Linked DNA regions of Notamacropus eugenii. The protein of the gene in region 2 interacts with the protein of the main gene of each other region in a biochemical or structural test. Links are inferred from orthologs where the notes say so. Each region holds a gene or a part of one and is shown on either strand. Other genes may lie near its edges.

Evidence for each region.
Region 1: the proteins of RNF40 (region 2) and UBE2B form a complex in vitro, tested with the Homo sapiens proteins (3 studies listed by BioGRID). The link is inferred for Notamacropus eugenii from reciprocal best matches to the Homo sapiens genes RNF40 and UBE2B.
Region 3: the proteins of RNF40 (region 2) and WAC form a complex in vitro, tested with the Homo sapiens proteins (2 studies listed by BioGRID). The link is inferred for Notamacropus eugenii from reciprocal best matches to the Homo sapiens genes RNF40 and WAC.

What each region holds. Positions count from the first base shown.
Region 1 is NC_092872.1:340,822,154-340,829,967, forward strand, and holds the start of UBE2B (ubiquitin-conjugating enzyme E2 B), read right to left. Parts: upstream 3,066-7,814; 5' UTR 2,911-3,065; coding exon 2,867-2,910; intron 1-2,866. UniProt on the Homo sapiens protein: E2 ubiquitin-conjugating enzyme that accepts ubiquitin from the ubiquitin-activating enzyme E1 and transfers it to a E3 ubiquitin-protein ligase. In vitro catalyzes 'Lys-11'-, as well as 'Lys-48'- and 'Lys-63'-linked polyubiquitination.
Region 2 is NC_092874.1:377,895,229-377,903,135, forward strand, and holds the start of RNF40 (E3 ubiquitin-protein ligase BRE1B), read right to left. Parts: upstream 3,024-7,907; 5' UTR 2,892-3,023; intron 2,791-2,891; 5' UTR 2,566-2,790; intron 2,481-2,565; exon of another isoform or gene 2,440-2,480; 5' UTR 2,438-2,439; coding exon 2,306-2,437; intron 1,480-2,305; coding exon 1,312-1,479; intron 1,045-1,311; coding exon 903-1,044; intron 642-902; coding exon 435-641; intron 232-434; coding exon 110-231; intron 22-109; coding exon 1-21. Other genes in the region: CFAP119 (cilia- and flagella-associated protein 119), read left to right, coding at 3,239-3,448, 3,770-3,801, 4,075-4,140, 4,359-4,528, 5,334-5,404, 5,608-5,724, 5,838-5,898, 5,988-6,071 and 1 more; PHKG2 (phosphorylase b kinase gamma catalytic chain, liver/testis isoform), read right to left, coding at 6,974-7,258, 7,472-7,597, 7,693-7,846.
Region 3 is NC_092874.1:69,112,277-69,119,537, reverse strand, and holds the start of WAC (WW domain-containing adapter protein with coiled-coil), read right to left. Parts: upstream 3,012-7,261; 5' UTR 2,921-3,011; coding exon of another isoform or gene 2,906-2,920; 5' UTR 2,904-2,905; coding exon 2,863-2,903; intron 2,521-2,862; coding exon 2,484-2,520; intron 747-2,483; coding exon 551-746; intron 1-550. Other genes in the region: uncharacterized protein, read left to right, coding at 2,906-2,920, 3,028-3,818.

The DNA.
Region 1 (7,814 bases), on a different chromosome or scaffold from region 2:
CCGATTATGAGCTCTTGTGGTTTACTGGCTGCCAGTCTCCTAAATTTAATTAGGCAGGAACCAAACAGAGGTTGCAAGTACAAGAAAGCCTAGATTAGAAGAAAAGGTAACAATGCTTTTTCTGAGTATAGTATCACTAAATGATACATTACCTTTTAAAATTTTATCTCACAGCTCTCACAACTGAAAAGGCTATTTTGTACATAATGGTGCAGGATGGAGTTGTAAATAGTAAATAGTAGTCTCTTACACTAGTAATGACTTTGTGAGCACTATGATTCTAAACAAAACAGCTACACAAAAATGGCAACAAATGGAATGAACAAGGCTTTATGGACAAATCGGTTCATATACATCTATATCATTTAATCCCCCTAACACTAATGGGCACTACAAATTAATGTACCTACCATTATTCTACAATTAGACAAGAAACTGAGGCTCAAACAAATTAAGTGCTTCTTCCAGGGTCAAGCAGCTAATTAATTAGGTGGTTAGAGTCTAGTAAAGAGTTTCTAAATAGCCAGCGTTTAAAGGGTAGATTCAACTGCTCAGCAAGGTGTGGCTTTTAAGAAGAGTAAGGTTCCTGAAGAAGCAAGTCAAAGTTCAGAATAATGAAGCTACCCCAGGATACAACGCTGGTGAACAACAGCGCCCAATGGACAACAAGGACAGTGCAACTACAGGAAGCTGAAGTTTTCATATGCAAGTAGTGCATATTTATTTCCCTTTTATAATTGACACTTTCCAATTCACTACCCGCCCCCCCTTATGGATAAACATCATAGCCTCTTAAGCAAGTTCAGTAGACAATCAGCAAGCTAAGTGGCAGGATTGATATATCTTCCATAATGGCCACAACTTCTTGCTAATTAACTCCAGCAAGCTCCTAAAGGTACAATTTTTTTTTGGCATCTAGAAATGTAGTACATAAAAAGTTTTGTTGCCAGAATTAAGCTGTATCCAAAGCAAAATTTTTAAAAATGCTCAGTACCTGGAACCCAAGTTGGAAACCTATTACTTAAGGTAATTGTCAAAAAAAACTAACCAATGAAATATCTGAACCATAAAATGTTTTAAAGATGTTAAAAAAAATCCAAAAGCTGAGTACATTATACAGGTGACTCTTCTAATTTTTCTGCAAAGTTCATCAAGTGTGTTACCTTCCAATAAGAGAACAAAGACAAATAGGATATGGAGTTAACAACCACCTACTTTGCCCCTTATTCAGGTAACCCTCTTTTAAAAGCTTCAATGCAGGGCTATAAAGCTATAAAGTTTTACTTGTAAAATATCGTTGCAAATTGTACAATGCTTTGCACGTAAGTATTTATCTTCATACTAAAAAAATTTTTAGTAGCATTTAAGCAGAATCATTCCATTTTCCCCTAGGGAAAAGGCACCCAGAACAGCTCAGTCTGAAGAAGAGACAGAACTGGTTCATACTTAAGGAAAAAAATCTCTCAAGCACTTCACCTGAGAACTTAAAAGGGTGTGGTGAAAGCACTCTAATTTTTAAGTAACTAATAAAATAACTTTGTGACAAACAACGCAGGTTTCTCCAGATCAAAGAAGTCATCTCAAAACACTTCTCTTTTAAGCAAAAAGAAAAAAATGTTGAGGAAAAGATAAGGCTCAAGTAAGACATTTCCTCACTACTTATATTCCTATGTATCTTCCAAGTGTTTGCAAAGGTCAGTAAATGACTTGGAAAAAAATCTACTTTGTCAAAAATCCCATCCTTATCAACAGATAAAAATCCTAAAATAAAATCTAAATGTACTACAGGGGACCCAGGTGCTTGTCACCTTCAGTACTGGCAGGAAAGGCATTTCTTCTAACCTTAAAAGTTACTAGTTCAAAGATTTATCCAACATTTCTCCACGTAACTAAATGGAATATCTGGAGAGAATGAGCTGATCCCCGACAGACCCCTAACTAGCTCTTCCAAGGACTGGTACCAGAGGTTTGGGCTGGCTCAGCACCCAGCAAGGTTGTTTTTGTTTTTGCCCTTTTTTCCCGAGGGGGGCGACGAAGAGGAGGAAGAGGAGGAAGAGAGGAAGAGGATTAGACTCCAGCTTCCACCAACTTCTCCACCCTCACGGAAGGGACAGGGGTAGCTCTGGCCCAGCCCCAACACGGGAGAAGGGATGTGGGATTCAATTAGAAAAACACAGAATTAAGATTCCGGTTGGGGGAAGGGGAGCCTCCTCCAGAGAAAAGGACACCCCGCTAGGGCATACAAAAAGAATAGAACCTGAGGAAGGAGGTGGGGGGGAAAGAAGAGACATAACCCCTCCCGTACAAACCTGGGGGTGTCACCCGACATTCGCCTCATTAAAATAACAAATGAAACCCAGGCAGGCAAAGAAGTCAGCTCCTTCCCCTTCCCCCTCCCCCCGGCTCCAAACCTGGGGGTGTCCGATCACCTTCCTCTATTACAAAAACAAACGAGGCTCGGACAGGCCCTCCTCCGTTCCCCAAACCCGGGGGTGTCGGACGCCCCCTTCTACGGATGGGGATGGAGAAGTGGGCGACGCTGGAGGCCTGTGCAGTCCCCTGCCCCCACCCTCAGCTCCGTTTTCACCTAGGAAAGGGAAGGAAAAAATGGGAATTCCCTAGGCCTGGAACCGAAGGACGAGAGAGTGCAGCGAGCTCCGGTGAGGAGCCGCCTCAAACCCGGCCCGACCCCCAGCCCCAACCCGGGATCTAAGACAGGCCAGGCCGCGTCGGAGCTAAAAGGAAGGTGCCCTGCGGCCTGGCCGCGCCGGGATTGGTCTCCAGTCTCCTCTTCTGCCCAAAGGCTTCGGGGAAGAGAGGAAGACAGCGAGAAAATAGGACAGGGACATCTGCTGGGGGCAGTTACCGCTTGAAGTCCCGCATGAGCCTCCTCCTGGCCGGGGTCGACATGATCCCCCCGCTCCCCCGCGGTCTGTGTGAGAGAAAAGAGTCCCGAGTTCCCCACCCCCCACCCCCCCGGCCGTAGCACTCAGGAGCACCGCCACCGCCAAAGCTTCACAAACAACCCGCAATGACTTCTTCCTCCGCTGCACAAAAGATCCCTCCGCCCTCCGCCTGTACCACTATGGCGACTTTGTAGGAGGGGGAGGAAAGGGAGGAGTCTGAACGAATTCTGCATCCTTCGTCAGAAAAATATAGAGTCTTTGACTGTATCACTATTTTTCAATGCAATATTCCTTATATTGGCCTCATTTCCTTTGCATAGTAAGTAACAGAAGCCGTATCACGAGCAATTCTGTACTAGTTCCCCCTTGATACAATCTTAGACTCGTCCGAGTGGGGAGGAGTCGGAGATGCTGGAGAGGGTGATGCAGCTAGCTCCTGAGATTTCGGGCTAGAGGAAGGACGATGACGTCAGATCACGTGATACTCGGTGATGCTGTCAACAATTCAGATGGGGGTGGGGAGGGAACTAGACCACGTGGCCCTGTGACGCAGGCCGAACTGTTTCAGAGAAGGTACTGGAACCGTGAAGTTGCGAGGAGAGTGGTCAGTTCCGCAGTGATGGAAGAACCTTCTCTTCGGGAACAGAGCTGCCTCGTCCCCCACCGGGAGCCGCGGCTGTTGTCCTGCCGCCGGTCAGGAGGTAGCAGACGCACTGCTCGGTCGGAATGAAGGCTTGCCCTTCTCTTTGCCTTCAAGACCTGGGGACTTGGTCGTCGCGGGCACTCCCTCTCCGGGCGCACGTCGCTGCCCTCTTGTTCTTGAGAGTTCCTGGGGCGGAACAAGTCCCTGCCTAGCGGCCCCCTGCTGATCGAGACTCCAAATTTAACTAGGTTGGTTAGTTTTCAGAAGGTGGACACGGACCCGCCCTGAGCCAGGGGCTTCTTTAAAATCTTTAATGTAGTGTCAATATAATTTAAGGCTTAGCCCTCCCCTCCCCCCAAAAAAGAAAAACCAGGCCAGAATAAAAATATTCTCAGGCTGTTGAAAAGTGATTTCGGTGTATCCCCCTGTAGGGCGGTAGTAGAGAGGAAGAGCTTTTGTACGCCCTTCCAACAAAGAAGAATAAAATGTCCCAGTGTGCGTGGACATCTTCTGTTCTGCGCTGAGGTCATTCTGGAGCTGGAAACCCCAGGGAGGTGCGTGCGTGGGGGGGTGTGTGTGTGGTGTGTGCGTGTGTGTGTTTTCAAATTATCTTAGAATTTCAGGCATAATGTCTTTTTTTCTTGAATGAGCACTATTTCATTCGAGGATTTGTATCACAATTCGTGGATTTTGTCTATAAGAAAGCCTTGATTCTGCTTTGAAAAAAAAAAAGTCGGAAGATAGAAGGTTGGCATTTGATATAATATTGTGTTTTGTGTCTTGTGTTTTTCATTTGTTCAAGAACTGTTTGTTAATAAGTACTGTGTGCAAGGCACATGCTAGGTGCTAGGAGAGATGCAAAGCTAACTAAGATCCCTGTGAGATACAAAGATAATTACGGTATAATCCGCGTCCCAGTGGAATTCTCCATCTATCAGGAGCCTGGAAATGATAAAGGATATAAACAGAGTCTATCTTATTAATAGATTTTTATAATAGACTTTTTGAAAGACACTTAGTAAATAAAGGTAGGATCCAGTTTTCACTGGCTTGTCCCCCCCAAGGTTAGAAAGCTCTCTTCTAGTCTCCTTCCATTAGCTTCACAGGCTTTCCTGAAGTCTTAGCTAAAGTCCTACCTTCTGCAAGAAGCCTTCCTGGTGCTTCTTAATCTTAATGTCTTCACTCAGCTGACCTCCAATTTATCCTGTCTATATTTTGTTTGTATGTAGTTACTTACATGTTTCCCCATTTAGACTGTGAACTCCTTAGGAGTAGAGGGGATTGTTTTTTTTGTTTTTGCCTTCCTTTGTATCCCCAGTGCTTAGCACGTAGGTTGTGTTTAATAAATTCTAGTTGACTGAGTACTGAATACAAAATAATTTCAAGGTGGAAAGAGTGCTATTAGAAAAGGCCTTATGTATGAGATGGCACCTGAGCTGTACTTTGAAGGAAATTCAGTCTCTGAGACGGAGATATAGAGGAAGTGCCCTTTAGAAACAGGATGACCAGCTGTGCAAAGGGATGGAGATAAAAGTTGGAGTATTTGCTTCAGTTACTAGTAGATCGGTTTGATTGGATTGGAGATGGTAAGGGGAATAAGATGAAAGAAAACTAGAAATGTAAGTGGGAACCATATTGCAGAGGGCTGCAAATGCCAAACTAATGATTTTGCATTTTATCCTGGAGACAAAGATGCATTTAAGATTCTTGAGTAGGGGGTTGACAAGAGATGAGTTTTAGGAATGTGAATTTGGCAGCTGCATTGAGAATGGATTAAAAAAGGGAGAGACTGAAAGTATTGGGATACAATTAGGGAAACTATTATAAACAAAACAAAAGGTGATAAGGGCTTGAACTAGGGAAGAGGCTGTATGAGTCAAGCAGAGAGGATGGATATGAGTGAGGTGAGGAAATGGGAATAACAAGACTTAGCAACTCATTGGATATGGGGATTAAGGGAGAAGAAAGAGTCCAGACCATGAACCTGAGTGACTGGAAGAATGGTCATACTATTAGTAGAAACAGGGATACTGAGGCATTGTGTTATAGTTAAAAGAGTGCTGGGTTTGGAATCAGATAAGGGTGCAAATCTTGGATTTGGACAAGACACTAACCTCTCTGTGCCTTATTTTCCATGCTTGCAAAAAAGAATAGTTTGACTTAAGATGGCCTTTAAATCAAATCTATAATCTATGAACCAGAGAAGGGTTTGGAGGGAGGGGGGAATAATGACTTATATTTTAGACACGTTGAGTTTGAGATGCATCCAGATGGAGATGGCTAGCAGGCAACTGGTGATATGGGACCAAAGTGCAAGACAAGAGAGATTAGGGATTCAAAAGATGTGAAGGTAGGCTTTGATAGTACTGCCTGATAATTGATGGAATATAAGGTGAGGAAGAGAGAAGAATTAAAGATAAGCCTAAGGTTATGAATATAGAACACTCAATAAATAGTGGTGCAACAGACAGAAATAGTGAAGTTTTAGATATACTGATCTTGAAATGCTGGCAGAATTTCAAAGTAGAGATACCCCAAAGGTGGCTGGAGATGTGACTAGAGCTCAAGAGAGGGCAGGACTAGAAAATCAGATATATTTGAGTCACTGGGTTCTCTGTAGGAGATTTACTGAAAGACAAAGGCAAGAACTGCACAGAATGAGAAGATGTGGAGGAATGGATTCCTCCAAGAGAGCACCTTTACTAATAAGACCACAGATCCTTCAAAGCGTCAAAGACTTGTCCTATTTTTTGTCCCCTTTGCCAATCTGATGGGTATGAGGTAGAATCTCAGAGTTGTTTTGTCTTTCCCTAATTATTAGTGATTTAAAGTATTTTTTAAGTATGGCTATTGATAGCTTTGATTCCTCCTCTGAAAACTGCTTGTTCATATACCTTGACTCCGTTAGTTGAAGAATGACTCTTTTTCTTATAAATTTGAATCAGTTGCCTGTATATCTTAGAAATGGGAATTTTATCACAAAATATTGCTGCAAAGGTTTTTTCCCCCCCATTTACTTCCTTCTTTTCACATTTTAATTCCATTGGTTTTGTTTGTGCAAAACTTTGTAATTTTATGCAATCAAAATTGCTGTGGTTTTTTTTTTATCTATTTCATCATGAACTCCTCTTATTTCCTGACAGGAAATTTTTTCCTTGTTTATCTATTTTACTTACGACATCACCCTTTACGTCTAAGTTATATATCCATTTGGAGTTTATCTTGGTAGACATAGGACACCAGTCTATACCTAGTATTTGCCAGACTGATTTCTATTTTTCCTAACACTTTTTGTAAAATTGTGACTTCTTACGCCAGTCAGTGGAATCTTTGGATTTATCAGGCACTGGGTTATTGTGCTTATTTGCTTTTGTATATTGTTTATGTAATCTGTCCCACTGATCAACCTTTTTATTTTTTAGCCAGTACAAAATTGTCTGGATGATTATTGCTTTGTAGTGTGGTTTGAGATCTGGTGCTGCTAGGCCCTCTTTTTCCTCTTTTTTTTTTTTCCCTATCAATTCACTTGAGATTCTAGGGGTGGGGAACCTGAGGCCCTGAGGCCACATGTGGCCTTCTGGGTTCTTAGGTGGGGCATTTTGACTGAGTTCCAGTTTTAAGAACAAATCTTTTTATTAAGGGAATTTGTTCTGTGAAGTTTGGATTCAGTCAAAGAGCTGAACTTTTATTTCTCCAGATGAACTTTATTATTTTTTCTAGTTCTATAACATAACCCTTTGATAGTTTAATTGCTATAGTACTGAATTAGTAAATTAATTAAGGTAGCATTGTTATTTTGATTATATCGGTTCAGCCTACCCATAAGCAAATACTATTTCCCAAATTATTTACACCTGTCTTTATTTGTATAAAGAGTGTTTTGTAGTTATGTTCATATATTTGATGCATATGTCTTTTCAGGTAGACTGTTTTATATCTTCTGTAATTATTTTAAATGAAATTTTATAGCTCTTTCTGCTGAATATTGTTGGTAATGTAAAATAATGCTAATGATTTATGTGGGCCTATTTTATACCCTGCAACTTTTCTAAAGTTGTTAATTGTTTCAGTTAGTTTTTAGTTGAATTGCTAGTGTTCTTTAAGTAAACCCTCATATCATCTGCAGATGATCACTTTGTTTTCTCTTTGTCTGTGCTTATTCTCTCCATTTCTTTTTCTTGCCATTGCTATAGCTAACAATACTAGTATATATTGAAGAATAATGGTGTTAATCAAGGCGGCTAGGTGTCATAGTGGATAGAGCT
Region 2 (7,907 bases):
TTTGTCTTGGAGTTCTGAGTACTGTGGAGGTGAAGTAGCAAGGGGTGGGCTGAGTGTTCTCTTATCTCCTTCCCACATTCATCCAAGTGCCCCATGTCAGCAGTCTTACTTCCAGAGAGATTCGGTGGTGCTTTTCCTGCAGTTGGGTGGTCAAGTCCTGTAGTCGCCTGTTGTCTTGTCCAAGTTCCCTGGTTAAAGCTCTAAGTCCTTCTCCGAGGGACTCACACTCCCCTGGAAAGGTAGGGACCAATGAGAGGACAATGGCAACCAGAAGAAAAAGCTAGCAGCAGGAAATTACATGACAAACTAAAGGTTCCTAGAAGGAACTGGGGAACATGTGTAATAAATAGGTCTGCTATGGGCATCTGCAGTCAAATAAAAGCTGATATGCCTCAGTTCTGAACAGGGAAGGGGCTGAGTGCTCCTGGGTTCACCTCTGCTGTGGACTCGATGGCACAGTTCTTCTACTCGACGATGCAGTCGGTCTGAGGCCTCAACTACTCTGGACACTGCTGCCTTGGAGAACTCCATTCGGCCCTGGAGCTGAAGTTCTACCTCTTCGCTACTGCTGGCCCCCAGGGCTGCCACAAAAGCCAAAGCTGGCTCGCTCAGGGGGGGCCGAAGCTGGAGGGTGGGAAGATCTGAAACAGAGATCCAAATAAGATTGTTATATTTGACATGGGTATGCAATAGGGTGTGAAGAGCAATAATGAAAAGGAGAAATGAGAAGCAGGATCTTGCAGAAAGTGTAGTGAGGTGAATCAAAACCCTACCATAACTCCTAACAAATGGGCTTTTTATTGATAACTAACATTTATATGTCACTTTAAAACCTGTACAGTCTCCACTCTGCTTATCACTTTCTCCACAATTTTTCACTATCTCTCCCCTGCTGGTCTCACCTCTTCTGTCTGTGGTTCCTGGTTCAGGCAGAGGGGTCCCATCAAGTTCAGTGCCATCTTGAGCTCCTGGTTCCTCTATCCTAGATAGTAATTCTCCTCGTCCCTCATGCCGTCGGAGTAGAACCTCTACAGTTTCATCCAGCTGTGAGGGTGTCACAAGAGAACATGACTTTTCTGGAGGCTTCAATGGCAAAAATACCTTTCCCCAAAGGGGGACGATGAAAACTCTGAAGCAGAAGTTTAAAAAGATTTCAAGGAAGAAAAAACTGGGGACTGGCGCAGGGTCTGAGGTAGAAGGAACAAGAAAATGAAGACGCATAGCCTAGAAGAGGGAAGGGGATTGATTCTAGGGTTCTGGACTAGCTAAACTTAGGCAAAAAGGCAGGAATCATGGTTGATGGAGACATACCTGGGCCCAATAGCGGTTGACAATGAGCAATGTAGCATCATCGGTGGCCTGGCGCTTTTCTAGCTTTTCAATTCGCTCCCTCAATTCATCTTCACACGCCTGTCGTTGTTCCAGTCGCTCTGCCAACTTTTTGTTCTTGAACTGTAGCACTTTCAGGTCCATCTCCTCCTGTAGAAGGCAGAGTGAGTAAAAGAACATAAGAAAAAAGTGAGAAAGGCTGTAATAAAATGTTAAGAAAAAGAGAAATGGAAAGCAAGGCCCCATAGAAAGTATGGTGAGTCAAAATCTCATTGTAACTTCTAACAAGGGGGCCCCTAATATTGACAACCGAATTTAAACAGCACCCGACAGTTTGTAAAGTGCTTTACATATGATCTTTTAAACTACGTAACAGTCTTGCAAAGTGGGCATTACAAATTTCCCACAAGGGGAAAGTGAGGCTAGAGAAATTGTGACTTGTATCAGAGGCGAGATTCTGAACCATGTCTTCCTGACTCAAAGTCTAGCCTTCTATCAACAAAGCATTAAAAATATTAGTGAAAACATATCAACAAAAAACATCTAGCCATAAAAGTGAGTGAGTCTCTACTGGGTTGGAAGGATAACAGAGGGACAGCTGGAGTGCCACAGTGGCTCTCCCCAAACACTCAAGGAACAAGCAGACCTTCAGTGTTTTGGGCAGGTTTCCCCGCAGAACGTTTACATAAAGTCAGAGACAAGAACTGGAAAAGATGAGAGACGGGTAGACAGACTGTGATCTCTTCTCGGGAGGATGAGATCAGACTTGGATAGGTCCAATTACCTAAATGAGGACAACGCGGGGGCTTTCCTTGTGAGTTAACCTCGCTTTACAGAGCACCCTGAAGCTCCGAGGGCACATAACTGACTTGGCCACGGTCAGGGTTCCAAATACAGTGGGTCTGGGGGGGATGGCGGGGGTGAGGCGTGGGAAGCGGGGTAAGGGTGCGCAGCAGGGGGGAGGGGCCGCACTGACCGTGGAGGAGATGCCTCCCAGGCGGATGGGCTCGATAAGGGTGGTCGTGGTCTTCTCCTCCCGATTCTGCTTCTTCTCCGAGGGGCCCGAGCCCCCATCCCCGGCTGCGCGCTTGTTGCCGGCCCCAGACATGGCTGGAAAGGAGGAGGGCGACCAGAGGCGGCTCCCCCTTCACCTGAGGGAGAGGCGGGGCCCGGGGAGGCTCAGGATCCCAGTGGGGGCGGGGAGGCCCGGCTCCTTCCCGGCTCCTTCCTACCTACCTCCTCCCAGGGAGGATTCAGTTTCTCCAGGCAGCTGCCCAGGTGGCCGGCGGCCTCCTTCCTCCGGTCCTGGCCCCCGACGGTCTCAGGAGACCCCTCACCTGTCCCAGGTTCGGCCGAACGCCGCCATGATGTACGTCACCGGATGTCGCATCGAATGCCTCCAAAGCGCGCAGGCGCCGACGAGTGGGAGGGCACGTAGCTAAATTTGTCTGCTTTCTTCTCCTATTGGTCAGAGACTCATTTAGAACCGCCTCCTGCCTCCGGAACGCTTTCTTACCCAGCAGCCCATCCTCTTCTCCTTGATTGGTGAAACGACCACGTACCATGGCAACCGTCTCCATGCCGCCTTGCCCCTGTCCCGGTAACTCCACCCTCCTCTTTATTGGTAGTAGTGAGGAGACCGCTCATATTCGCGGCGGAAGATACTGCGCTTGCGCAGCATTTCCTCATTTATTGGTCCGCTCTTCCCGCTTGTCACGCCTTTACCCCCGCCCTCGAGCCGCCTTAGCAACCACTGACCCCAGCAACGACGCTTCCCACGGATTGGCTGAACAAGACTATGTCTTGATCTCGATTGGCTGACATGTTCCCACAGAGGGCAGGGCCTCCATGCTCGGACCCGTAGCTTAGGCCCGAAGGCATACAAGGCGGAGGAACAGCGGGTGGCACGATGAAACGAAGAAAATCTAGCGGAGTTTCCGAACTAAATTCTGAACCGGGATTGGGGTTGGACCCGAATTCTGAGGGGTTGCCGGACGCGGCCCCGGATCTGAACCAGGAAGCAGAACTGAATTTGGAGATGGAGAGAGAGCCAAATGGAGAGCCCGAGCCGGAACCTGAAAGAGAGAGCCCCGAGGAGCCGGGCGCCAACCTGCTGCCGGTGAGGGCGGAGCGCGCTTGTTTCTCCCGGAGGCCCAGCCGGAGGTGTATTACCTGAGCTTTCCCGGGGGCGGTACCCCCCTCCTGGGATCCCGGGGAGCGGGTCGGGTCGGCCTTTAGGACTTCAGCCCAGTCTTTGCGAAGAACCGCAGAAAGGACCCATGTCCTCCGTGCACTTCCCGCCGCGTCCCTGGGAAGGTGGGGCGGCCTGTGAACCGCAGGGGAGCTCTCGCGCCCGGGCGGCCTAACCGAGCCACCCGAGAGCGGAGATCCCCAGGCCGCTAACGTAGCAGCGTTGTCACACAACCCTCTTTCTTCGCAGCCGCCACTTCCTGAGCCCCGGATCTGCTTGTGGTGAGCTCGGGGCTGGGCCTGGGCCTGCGGGTGGGGCTGGGCTAGGTGTGGGTAGGGGTGTGAGCAGCGTGGGGTCAGCAGGGAATGGGCCTTAGGATTCTCCTAGTCCAGCGGCTTCATTTTTCAGATAAGGAAAAGGCCCTGAGAGGGCCAAGCAGAAAGCTGATAAAATTTAGGACTAGGGCTCTTGACTCTCAATCCAACTGGCACATGGTGGATTCCTCTTCCTAGCTACCTTCCAACTACCTCCCTTTTTTTCTTTTCCAATGGCAGGAAATACCTGGATGTACATTCTATGGACCTACTGGAGAAAACCACCACCTTGGAAGAGATGCAGGAGTACGGGCTAAGTGAATAAGAGGGTTCAGAAATAGATTACTTCAGAGGTCCTCCCCACCCCAATAATCTGTTTCTTTGAATGGATGAGGAAAACAGGGAGGGAGGGCGCTCACAGGAGGAGGAAAGATACTTTCCTAGGAATACAGGATGGGGTGACTGAAAAGGATCTTTTACTCCTCAACTGGTTGCTCTCTACCCTCACCTTAATCCACCCCAAGGTTGCTGGCAGAACTGCTAGGCCTGGGGCTGACAGACAGGAGCCCAAGGGAGGCAGTGCTACTGGATATGTTTTGCCACACCTTGATCTTCTGCCGGCAACAGCGTTTTTCTCAGGAGCAGACCTCAGCAGCTTGCGCTCTGCTTCAGGACCTCCACAAGGCCTGTGTTGGTGAGTTGGTGAGACCCCCTGGGAGAAGGGCCTTGCAAGGATTCGTCACATCCAGGCTGAGAAAGGTGGGTGGGAGGGGAGAGCCTGAGGTAGGCAAGGTCAGTGATGAGCACCAAATAGTGCTTGCTTGGTCCTGGCTGAGCAACTGTAGTAGTAGTAAGGGCGAGGGTGAGGCTGTCCCGGTGCAGCAGTGAAATGAGCTAGTAACCCCAGAAGCCGTGTCTCTTATTTATCCTGTAGCTATCATTCTGTACATGTTGTCTCCATTAGGTTGCGAGCTTCTTGAGGGTAGAGACTGTTTTTGTGCTCCTCGGTGCCACGGTGCCTGGCACATAGTAGACACTTAATGCTTGTTTGATTTGACTTATGAACATGGTTAACAGTAGAATATTGGGAGGGATCTCAAGAATTTTACTTCAACCTTTTGTAGAAGAGCAAATGGGCTGGGGAGGGGGGCGGACAGAGAGAAATCTCATTTATTCCAGGTGACAGTGACAGGTAGTAGCGAATAGAAATATAATAGCCTTGGAACCAAGAAGCCCTGGGTTCAAGAGTTACCTCTGATACAGACCGACACTGAACAAGTAACCTAAATTCTAACTTCTCAGTTTCTAGGCAACTCTTTTAAGAAGTTGCAGAGAAAGTGCCATCTTGCATAAACAGGGGGTTACCTCATTCCAGAGTTCCATCTATCATTAAGAGTTAAGAGGCCCAGTCCTTATTCCTATAACCTAGGTCATTTTATTCCTTTCTTTCCACATGATTAAGGGAGTTATCACTGTCACTCATTTCTCCTTCTCCACAGCAACTCCCTTGGGCAACGTGGAAGACTGTTTCCGATTTTTCACCAGCCTCCTCTTCTGCCATGGAGTCAGGGTCAGTCCCAATACAGAGGAAATGAGGACTCTGAAGAATTTAAAACATCCCCATCCAATGCTCCATCCTGTAGAATTTTTTATTTCCTTCCTTAACTACCTCAAGTCCTAGGAGGCCAAAGCTATAGTACTTTCTTCCTTTCTTTGTTCTGAAGGTTCTGTAAGAAAAAGAACCAAGCTATATATTCCTACCCTTTCCCACAGCGGCCCCCCTTCAGCATTGACCTATTTGGAGAGGAACAGCTGCTGAGTCTATCAGATTATATCATCAACACCTACTTCCGTCATTTTAAGCTCTACAAGTATGTCTTCACCCCCCAGGTACTGGTCCCACAGGATACACGAAACTTTCCAGTCTATTCCTTCTCATTTCTCTATCTTAACATAGTTGTCATTCCTCTCTCCCTCCTCTCGAACTCCCTCTGCTCTCCCAGGTGCGGTTAGACTTGTCTTTGCGATATATAGGTCTGCCTGAAGTAAAGCCCCCAGCAGATGGTAAGAAGGGTGGAGATTAAACTAGGCCTGGGAAGAGGGTTGGGAAGTATGCCATGGGGCTCATGGCTCCACTCCCTTTCATCTTTCAGTACAAGAGGAAGAAAAGGTAGTGGAGACGGTGTTACCTGTTCCCGAAGAGCCAGAACCAGAAATAAAAACCGAGCAAGAGCCAAGTAAGCAATCAAGGGGCACCTGTTTCCCTAAGCCCTCCCTGGGAAACTGTTCTGTCTTATCCTGTAGAAAAAAATGTCTTCTGCTCCCATTCTTTCTAGGTGGGCTTCCTTCTAGCCAAAGGGAGCTCCTTAAGGACTAAATTGAGAATACTGAATTGAGAACAGTGTATTTCCTACCTCTCATGACATTCCCTGATAAGGCACTGTGATACACCATGCATGAATCCTCTCTCCTCACAATGTGGGACTGAGGTTCTCTTATGTAAAAGGTTCCTTTGGCTCAAGTTTGAACCACTTTTTCAACAACCCCAGGTCCAGGCGATATACTCCGGGATTTCATCACAGCCCAGCTTACCCATGAGCTAGGACAGCTCAGGCAGTTGGTGGAGGAACGGCTGAAGGCTGGCGAGGAGCAGCTCAATAGCAGGCTGGTTGCCCTTGAGAATCCTACCTTGGTCTCCAAGAGTAAAAGCAAAGCCAAGTCACCCCTGGGGTATTTACCCAAATAAAAGCCTGGGCCAGAAGTACCCTGTTCCTTCCCCCAGGTCCCCTTTTGAGCACCTTCTCACTCCATCTTGAGACACAGCTTGTTTCCCAGTGTGCAGGATGATTTATTTCACATGAAAAATGGACAGCAACAGCAAAGATGTGAATATCATTCTCAGCTGGTCCCTTTTCCTTCCATTCAAGTCCTGTAGTCCTGAGCAACAGGGATGGGGGCACAGAGTTGGTCCCCTTTCCAGTAGCATCATCATCAGAGAGCACAAGAGAAGGGAAGAATGCCTTCGGCCAGAGTCCAAGGTGACCGAGTTGATTGAAGCTCTCAGATTGGGAAATCTGTCCTTCCCAAGGCTCTCGGGCTGGGAAGCAGACTTCTGGGGGCTCCACGATGGAGGTCTTAACTACGCAACAACAGATTCATCGTCAGTGTTGGTTGGATCTCCCTCCTCTTCTGGATTGTAGCCCAGGTATGGGCCAGGAGGCCGGTGTTGGAAGAGGGCAGCCCTGTTCTGTTGCTCGCCCTTCTTTACCCAGTGTCCATAGAGGCGGAAGGCACAACTGTCAATGAGTTGCCTCACTGGTCGGAGCCCATATGGGTCTCCTAATAGAGCTCCCTTGCTCATTGGCCTTACCCTGCGACTGCTCAGGGCTACTCGGCCTGCAGCCAACACTGTCCATACTGCTACCTGAGAGGAAAGAAAACCACAAGAAAAACAAGATCACGGACACACTAAAAGTATGAGTTGAGATTTCTGAAGATAGTTGAGTCCCAGCGAAAACAATGTCATCTCTTATCACCTAGGTCCAAGGGAAGGGTAAAGTGAGGTAGATGTGTGGTAGTAGTGGGTTTTGTTTTCCCAGGAACCTCTGTCTTGTAATATCTGCTCTCTGTTCCTTACCCTGAATCGCTGGATGGGAGAAAGGCTCCAGGCCTGGCTACCCTCACAGCGTTGGAAGAAGGGATGCTGCAGGGCCTGCTCTGCAGTCAGTCTTTCCTCAGGATCCACCTGGAGTAGCCTTGAGATCTAAGAGAGGGGTAGGGGCCATGAGACACTTCTTCTCCTGACTCCTGAACTACTACTGCATTTCCCCCACCCCTTTGAGCCTTTGATTTACTCACCAGGTCTTTGACAGTTGCTGATCGGTCATCCCATTCTGGTGACCTGAACTGGTATCGGCCCTCCATTATCATTCTTAGCATCAGGATCTGGCGTCGATGCCAGAATGGGGGAGAGCCAGCCAGGAGTGTGAACAGGATCACCCCACAGGCCCAGCTGTGAAGGGAAGACCACCAGGTTCAGATGGGGATGGGGAATGAAATGGGAGAGAAAAGAC
Region 3 (7,261 bases), about 310 Mb from region 2:
AGAAAGCTAGGAAATACTTTCAGTGTTACCAATTGCTTACATTTGCCACAGATATCTCAAACTTGGGTTTTCAATTGCCTCTGAGGATTTAAAAGTTATCAGAAAGATATGAACTTGAATGCTTTTAAATAAAATGAGCAATTAAAAAAAACAATCAAATTCAAATTATTTTATGCCTTTTTTAAAAATGTGAAAAGATTGGTTCTATTTATTTTCCTGATTCCAAAATAATCAGAGCTCTTTTCTATATACACCCACAGTCAATTCCTAACCTCTCCTCATGTCCCAACCAATAATACTATTATAGTCGTTAAGAATCTTCTTGGTGAAGCCAATTCAATTTCTAAATGTACATCTTACTTCTAGATTAAGTTAAAGGATCAAAATATTCTGACCAAAAAATAAAGAACACTGATGAGATAAAAGTGGCAGAGTTCACCACTAATAACATAATTCTGTTCTCTATTTCATAGATTGATTTTGATTGACCGTACCAAAAAAAAAAAAAAATTTCAATAGGTACAAAATTTTTGTAAGTAAAACTACTTACCACCATCCCTCTCTCTAACTCTGTGAGTATGCACACTTTTTGCTTTACTGTGACCTGTGCTGTCGCTATATTTGTTTTCAGGACTATCAGATCGTCGTAACATTTTATTTGGTGGTGAAGGATCTGTGGTGTCTCGCATCTTTTCATGTCGGTGATCGCCACTACTGGGGTGACTCTTCGATGAATATTTAAGAGCCTACAAAATATCATACAAAGAAAAGCACAGACCTTTAACTTGAGTCCTTAATTATGACAACATGAAATTTATTTCGTTAAGTTTTATGACTTAAAACATCAATTTTAATCAAACATGATTCAAGAAGTCAATGTGTCTATAAATAGCAATGATTCAAAATAATGAGATCTCTAATCACTCATTTAAATATTTCAGAATATTTGCTTGAAACGATCTTGGGGCATCATTCCTTAATAAACCTTTCTGGGAAAGATGGGATGGGGACAGAAATGACCTTATAATACTATACAGTGAGAGTCAAAAGAGACTCAAAGGTCATATAGTCCCACTACTTCATTTTATAAATGAGGCAACAGAAGTTCAGGATAGTTTAAGTGGCATGCTGCTGCCACAGAGGTAATAAGCAACAGACTGAGATACGAACCTAAATCCTCTGATCATATACTATCAGCATTCTGTCTACTGTTTCATGGTGATTTCCTATTGTCTATATTCCCCAAATTATTTGGACATTTTGGTATCTATTTATCCACCCAATTTAGCCATTATCCATTTCTAGGGATTGTTAAAGCATAAGAAATCGATAGTTGAGTACTAGGTCATCCATTTCTGCCCTAAAAATTCATCTATGTATCTAAACAGGCGCCAATGGATTTCATTTACAAGAAGCTCTTTAATCACAAATTTCATCTCTGTACATGCAAAAAAAAAAGGAATCAGAATTAACCTTAAATTAACCGTAACTTAATTTCTGACTCTGGGATCTTATGATACTAAATACTTAATTTTAAAGCTAAATAACCTAAGGTTCCTTTCTAACTCTGGGATCCTACGTTATTAAATATTTAATTCTAAAGGTAAATTAAAATGCAGAGGATAACTTTGAAAAAGTGCTGCCTTTGTAATAGAACCAGACTTACATTCTCCTTAGAGAATTAAGCAGGTCGTTTCAGGCTATTATAATGTGCAATTATATCAAGGAAAACATGACCTATCCTTTAACATCTTCAAAACAAATATTATGCTGTATGACACACTGTAGTGCGTTGTAACTTACTTGGTTTGAGGTACAAACGCACAAGAAGTCAAGAAATTTTGAATAAGAGGATTACTAGCTGAGGGATCTGCAGATCCCTCTCATTTAGACCCCTAAGTGTCCTCTGACAGCTGTCATCCATTTTTGATAGCTTTTGAAAAGTCATCCATTTCAAAGAACCACAAGGACTGTCCTACGTAATTTCTGATGAGACACTGGTCAAGAGCTGCCCTGAAAAGGAACCAAAACCCCTCGAATCCCCGATGTCTCCTCAGGACATAGCTCCCAAGTGTCCAGGGCTGGCTCCTACTCTGAACAGGCAGTGAAATCACTCCGGACTGGGGTTCAGACTTTTGGTACACTCCCATAGCAAAGAGAATCAACTCGCTGCCTTTTTAAAATTTCAGCAGGCTGCCACTCACGAAGACCGCCCTCCCCCCAAAATTTAAACTAGTCCCTCTCTGCCCTCCCCGCTAAAATATCCGGGCTGGGCTCGTGGGCTCTCCGGGGCCCCCCCATGCGGGCCGGGGGCAGTCGTTCCACCAATCCGAGCCCGGCTTTCGTGGGGTTCCGGGGGGCTGGTTTCGGGTTCGTTGCCCCGCAGGGCCTGCGCCGACGGCTGAAGCCTAAGCTCGAGTAGCAGCAGTCGGTCCCTCCCTCCGCCTTCCCCGGCCGTCCCTCCCCTAGGACTCGGCTGGTACCTGGTAGGGCTGCGAGTCCCCCCTCCGGTCGTGACAGCTGAAAAACAGGAAGACAGACAGCGACATTAACACCCCGAGAGGGAGAGGCGAGCAGAACCCCCCCCCGCCCCCCAGGACCCGAGGCCGGCCGCCCACGGGCCCGGGCCGACCGCACGGCCGCGGGGCGGCGGCGCCCAGGAGCCCCCGGCGGCCCGGCCCGGCCCGCGGCCGCCCCCGCCGCCTCCTCGCAGGCCGGCCCGGATCGGGGTTAACAACAAAAATGGCGGCTCGGCCCGAGCTCGATAAGGAGGAACATCCCCCTCCCCGCCCGCCGCCCCCGGCGCGGCCCGGCCCGGCCCCAGCCCGGCCAGAGACAGACATAGAGAGAGAGAGGATTTACCCATCACTGAGTCTCTGCTGTTTCCTCGCATACATTACCATCAATGCCCGGCCTGTGTGTGTGTGTCGGGGAGGGGGGGAGAGGGCCGCGGGAGGCGGGAGGCGGGCGGGCGGGCGGACGGGCAGCGGCGGCGGCGGCGGCCAGCACCCCCTCAGCGGGTCTTAGCGCCGCTCCGTTACTGGCGCCGGCGCTCTCGGGCCATGGCCCTCCCCCGGCGCCGCGCACACGCTCGCTCCCGCTCGCTCGCCCGCTCGCTCCGTCCGTCTCTCGCTCGCTCGCTCTCGGCGGGGGCAGCGGCGCCAACTACACCGCGGCAGCGGCGCACCGGGGGGAAGGGGGGAGAAAGAAGACGCGACCGGCTCGGCCCAGCGGAGAGCGACGGCTTCCTCCGCCTTCCCCTCCTCCTGCTCCTCCTCCGCCGCCCCCTCCTCCTCCTCCTCCTCCTCTTCCTTCTCCTCCACCTCCTCCCCCCGCCGTCGCCGTCGCCGCTGCCGCCTCCTCCTCCTCCTCCTCCTCCCGCCGCCGCCGCCGCCGCCGCTGCCGCTGTTGGTGCCGCCGCCGCCGCTGCCGCCGCTCCTCCAACTACATCCGGGGAACTCGGACGCCACCGCCTTCGGAAAACATCGGCAGTTTCCGCCAAGCCGCTCCTCCCCTAGCGCTTCCTCCGTCTCCCCTCCCTTCCCTGTTCCCGAACGCCGAACTCGGCGTACTTCGCCTCTTCGCGACCCGTCGGCTCCTTCCGGTTCCGCCGCTTCCCTCCCCATGCGTACGTCCTCCTCCTCCTTCCTCTCTCCCCTCCCCCTCCGCCCCTGCGCCTCTCCTCGGAGCGCGCCGGAGGCCTCTGGTCGCCTTCTGTGTGTGTCCGAAGGAAGCCTAAGCTGCTGCGGCAGTGGTGCGCCCCGAAGTTCGATACCGGCTTCCCGCCGTGGAGGCGGCTGCCCTCGGAGGAGGGGCTGGTGGGTGCCTCGGCCCGGGCGGGCGGGAGCGGACCTACTGCGGGAGGGAAGGGGGTACGGACCGCGCTCACCCCGAGGGCCAGAAGGACATTTGTGTCCGGCTTAGAGCCCCCCGCCGCTCTTACGCTACAGGGATTTATAGGAAAGCCGAGGTCGGCGCCGGGGCTTCCGCCCGGGGCCTCCGGGTCCGCCCTAGGTGGCGTGGAGGGAAGGGAGGCCTCGAGGCCTATGCGGGTACCTGTATGGAGGGAAGGAGACGAGGGTCGGACTGAGGCCCCGCCATGGCCAGTCCGACCCCGCAGCCGGGGGAGTCTGTAGGCTCGGGCCTTGTACCCCGCCGGCGCCGGGGGCCTCGGTCCGGCCCTGCCCTGCCGGCCTCCCCTGCCGGCCTCCCCTGCGTCCTCCGAGAACTATGCGAGTCGCACCCCCGGCTTTCCTCCCACCGGTTGGTCTTCCTTCTTCACCTCCAGTGCTCCTCTTATTCTAGACGTATGTGTTGGGAAAAAATAAAATCCAGTCTGGAATTGTGTTTCTGAACGTTCGGCATTTTCAGCCTGTGTTTGGGGCGCGCGCCATTGGTTCTTTGGGAGCGTGAGGCCTGGGATTTCCCGTTCTGTTGGGCAGCAGGGATGGAGGGGGGAGTCTTTTTTTCTGCTTCCCTGATTTGGAAAAATTATCCGAAAGTTATTCTACTAAGCAGTTCTGGAGTGGGCCCTGGAACGTAGTGGGAAAGGAGACGCAATATTAAGGCAAAGAAATTTTGCTTTACGGTTTTGCATCGGGGCCTGGCAGAGACCCAGGCAGTGAGAACAGCCAGGATTTATACGCTGCCCCAAGGCTGCCTGGGAGCTAGGTGGGTGCTGTCATCATCCTCCTTTTGCAGTTGGGGAGACTTGTCTGAGAATGGGCTTCAATTAGGTCTTCTCACTCTGGGCCCGGTGCTCACCCCATGAGCCGCTAGCTGCCTAGGTACCAGTAAAAAAATCGATACCGTATGTTGCCTTTTGGAAAGTTGCCAGTCTCACCTTGCTACAAGTTGTCCTCCAGTTACTGACATTTAGCCTCCGTATTTTAGCTTATCTTCTACTTTATCCAATCTAACCAGGGCAGGAGCGTCAATCAGCAAGCGTTTATGGGCAGTCACTGTGGGTCAGGCACTGGGCAAGGTGCTGGGGATACAAAAGTAAAAATAAAGGTTCTCTGCCCTCCAGGAGCTTACAAAGAATGTCAAGGACCTGAAGTTTACAGTATCTCAGTTCCACTTTAGCCCCGAACACTCATTTGCTGCGTGATCATTAACTGCTAAACCTCAGTTTCCTGATCTGTAAAGTGAGAATAACCATTGTGCCCATCACAAAGAGCTGAGAGGTTAAAATAGAAGTTATTCTATAAGATAATATATAAGACATTATGTTAATAATATATATTACATCAGGCATTATATAAATGTCAGTAATTTGCGCCACACAATATTAGTGGAATTTCTCCATTTACAGGGATCCTTACTCCGCATAAGTCATAAAAACCTGTTGTCTGTGTTCATAATTGCTATGTATAGTTTTACTTTTTCTCAGTTTCGTTTCCAAAAGAAAATTCTTGGCTTTTACTTAGATCAGCTTTTGGAATGGAATGGAAAAGTATTCATTAAGTGCTAATCCCTGTGCTAAACACTAGCTAACAGTTATATGGTGCCTGCAATGTGGTAGGCACTTTGCTAAGCACTTTGCAAATACTTCATTTCCTCCTCACAACAATCCTTACTGTCCCCATTTTACAGATCAGGAAACTGAGGCAAACAAGTTAAAGGACTTGGCCAGGGTCCCACAGCTCCTAAGTATGTGAGGCCAGATTTGAACTCTTAGTCTTCCTGACTCTCCTCCTAGTGCTCCATCCACTCCCTAGAGATGATCCTCCCTCCCCGTGAGCTCATTCTGTTAGAGGGAGAAAACTTGAATGTAGGAGGGTGAAGATTCACAGCAGCTGCAAAATCTTGGTGATAATAAGGATCTAGCAGGCAAAGCAGCAGCAAGATGCTTTCTAGTAAGTCAGCCTTGGTTTGCAAAAAAAAAGCAATCCTCCAGGAGAACAGCTAAGATCCTGTATGAGGGCAGGAAAACTTGAATGGACACTTCTAGTACTGACTGTGTGACCCAAGGACAAAGGATTTAGACTTCTTGATCTATGAAACAGATTGTATTATATTATATTATTATTATACCCCTAGCATGGGGTATTCTAAAATCAGCCTGTCCATGCCTACCTTCCCCCACCTACCACTTCCATTACAGCTGGTGACCTAGCTGTCCTATTTTTCTGGGAAGGTTGAGGCCATCTCAGATAAGCTCCCTCAGCCTCCTTGGATTCCTCAAAATCAATAATCTTTTTCTTTTACTTGGATCACAAAAGAAGTATACCTATTTTTCACTAAGGCTAATCCATCTTTTTATATTGTAAATTCTAGGGCAGCTAGGTGGTACAGTGGATGGAGTACCAGTGCAGGAGTCAGGAGGACCTGAGTTCAAATCTCACCTCAGACACTTGACACTCACTAGCTGTGTGACCTTGGGCAAGTCGCTTAACCCCAACTGCCTCATCTTGGGTCATCTCCAGTCATCCTAATGAATATCTGGTCACTGGATTCAGATGGCTCTGGAGGAGAAGTGAGGCTAGTGACCTACACAGCCCTCCCTCACTCAAAACAAAAGTCAAATGCAAGTCATGTCATTTCTCTGATGGCATGGTCTTCTTCAGCAACAAAGGATATACACACACATTGTAAATTCTATTCCCTTTATCTTGCTTCCACCAGTCATCTTCTCATTTATTTCTTTCTCTTTCATTTTATTTTTTTTAGTCTGAGCTTAACAGCTGATAACCATGTTCATATCTATTTTAGAACCACAGAGGCAGAGCCAGCACAGCAGAGTGAGAGCAACTACTCACCTAAGCTCTTAGCCAAACTCCCTCAGATACCTCTAAAAAGAGAATCTGATCAAATTTTGGAGGTGCAGAATCCAATAGGAGACAAACTTTGGCCGTTTCACAGCCCAGGACAGACTGGAAGGTCCTGTTCCACAGGGGTAGAAGAGCATACAGCACACAGTGCAATGCTCCAGACTGCAGCAGGGCTGAGCAGGAAAGCCCTGGCCTGAGGAAGCAGCAGCACAGCAGGATAGCAGCTTAGGGCGAGAGTCAAGCAGAACGAGTGAGAGCTGCAGATGGAGCCCCAGCTATCTGCAGCAGCTGTACCAGAGACCATCAGCCCACAGATTAAATGTCTGTAAGTCATCTACTTGAACTTCTGGGAGCCAAAATGGCAGAGTGATCAGTAAATGCTCTCTCCCCTCCCCTTGTTGACCTTGAAAGAACCATAAAATATTTCCCCAGAAAAATCTTGGATCAGTGGGATCAGCAGAAGAGGCAAACAGTCTCATAGCATCTGA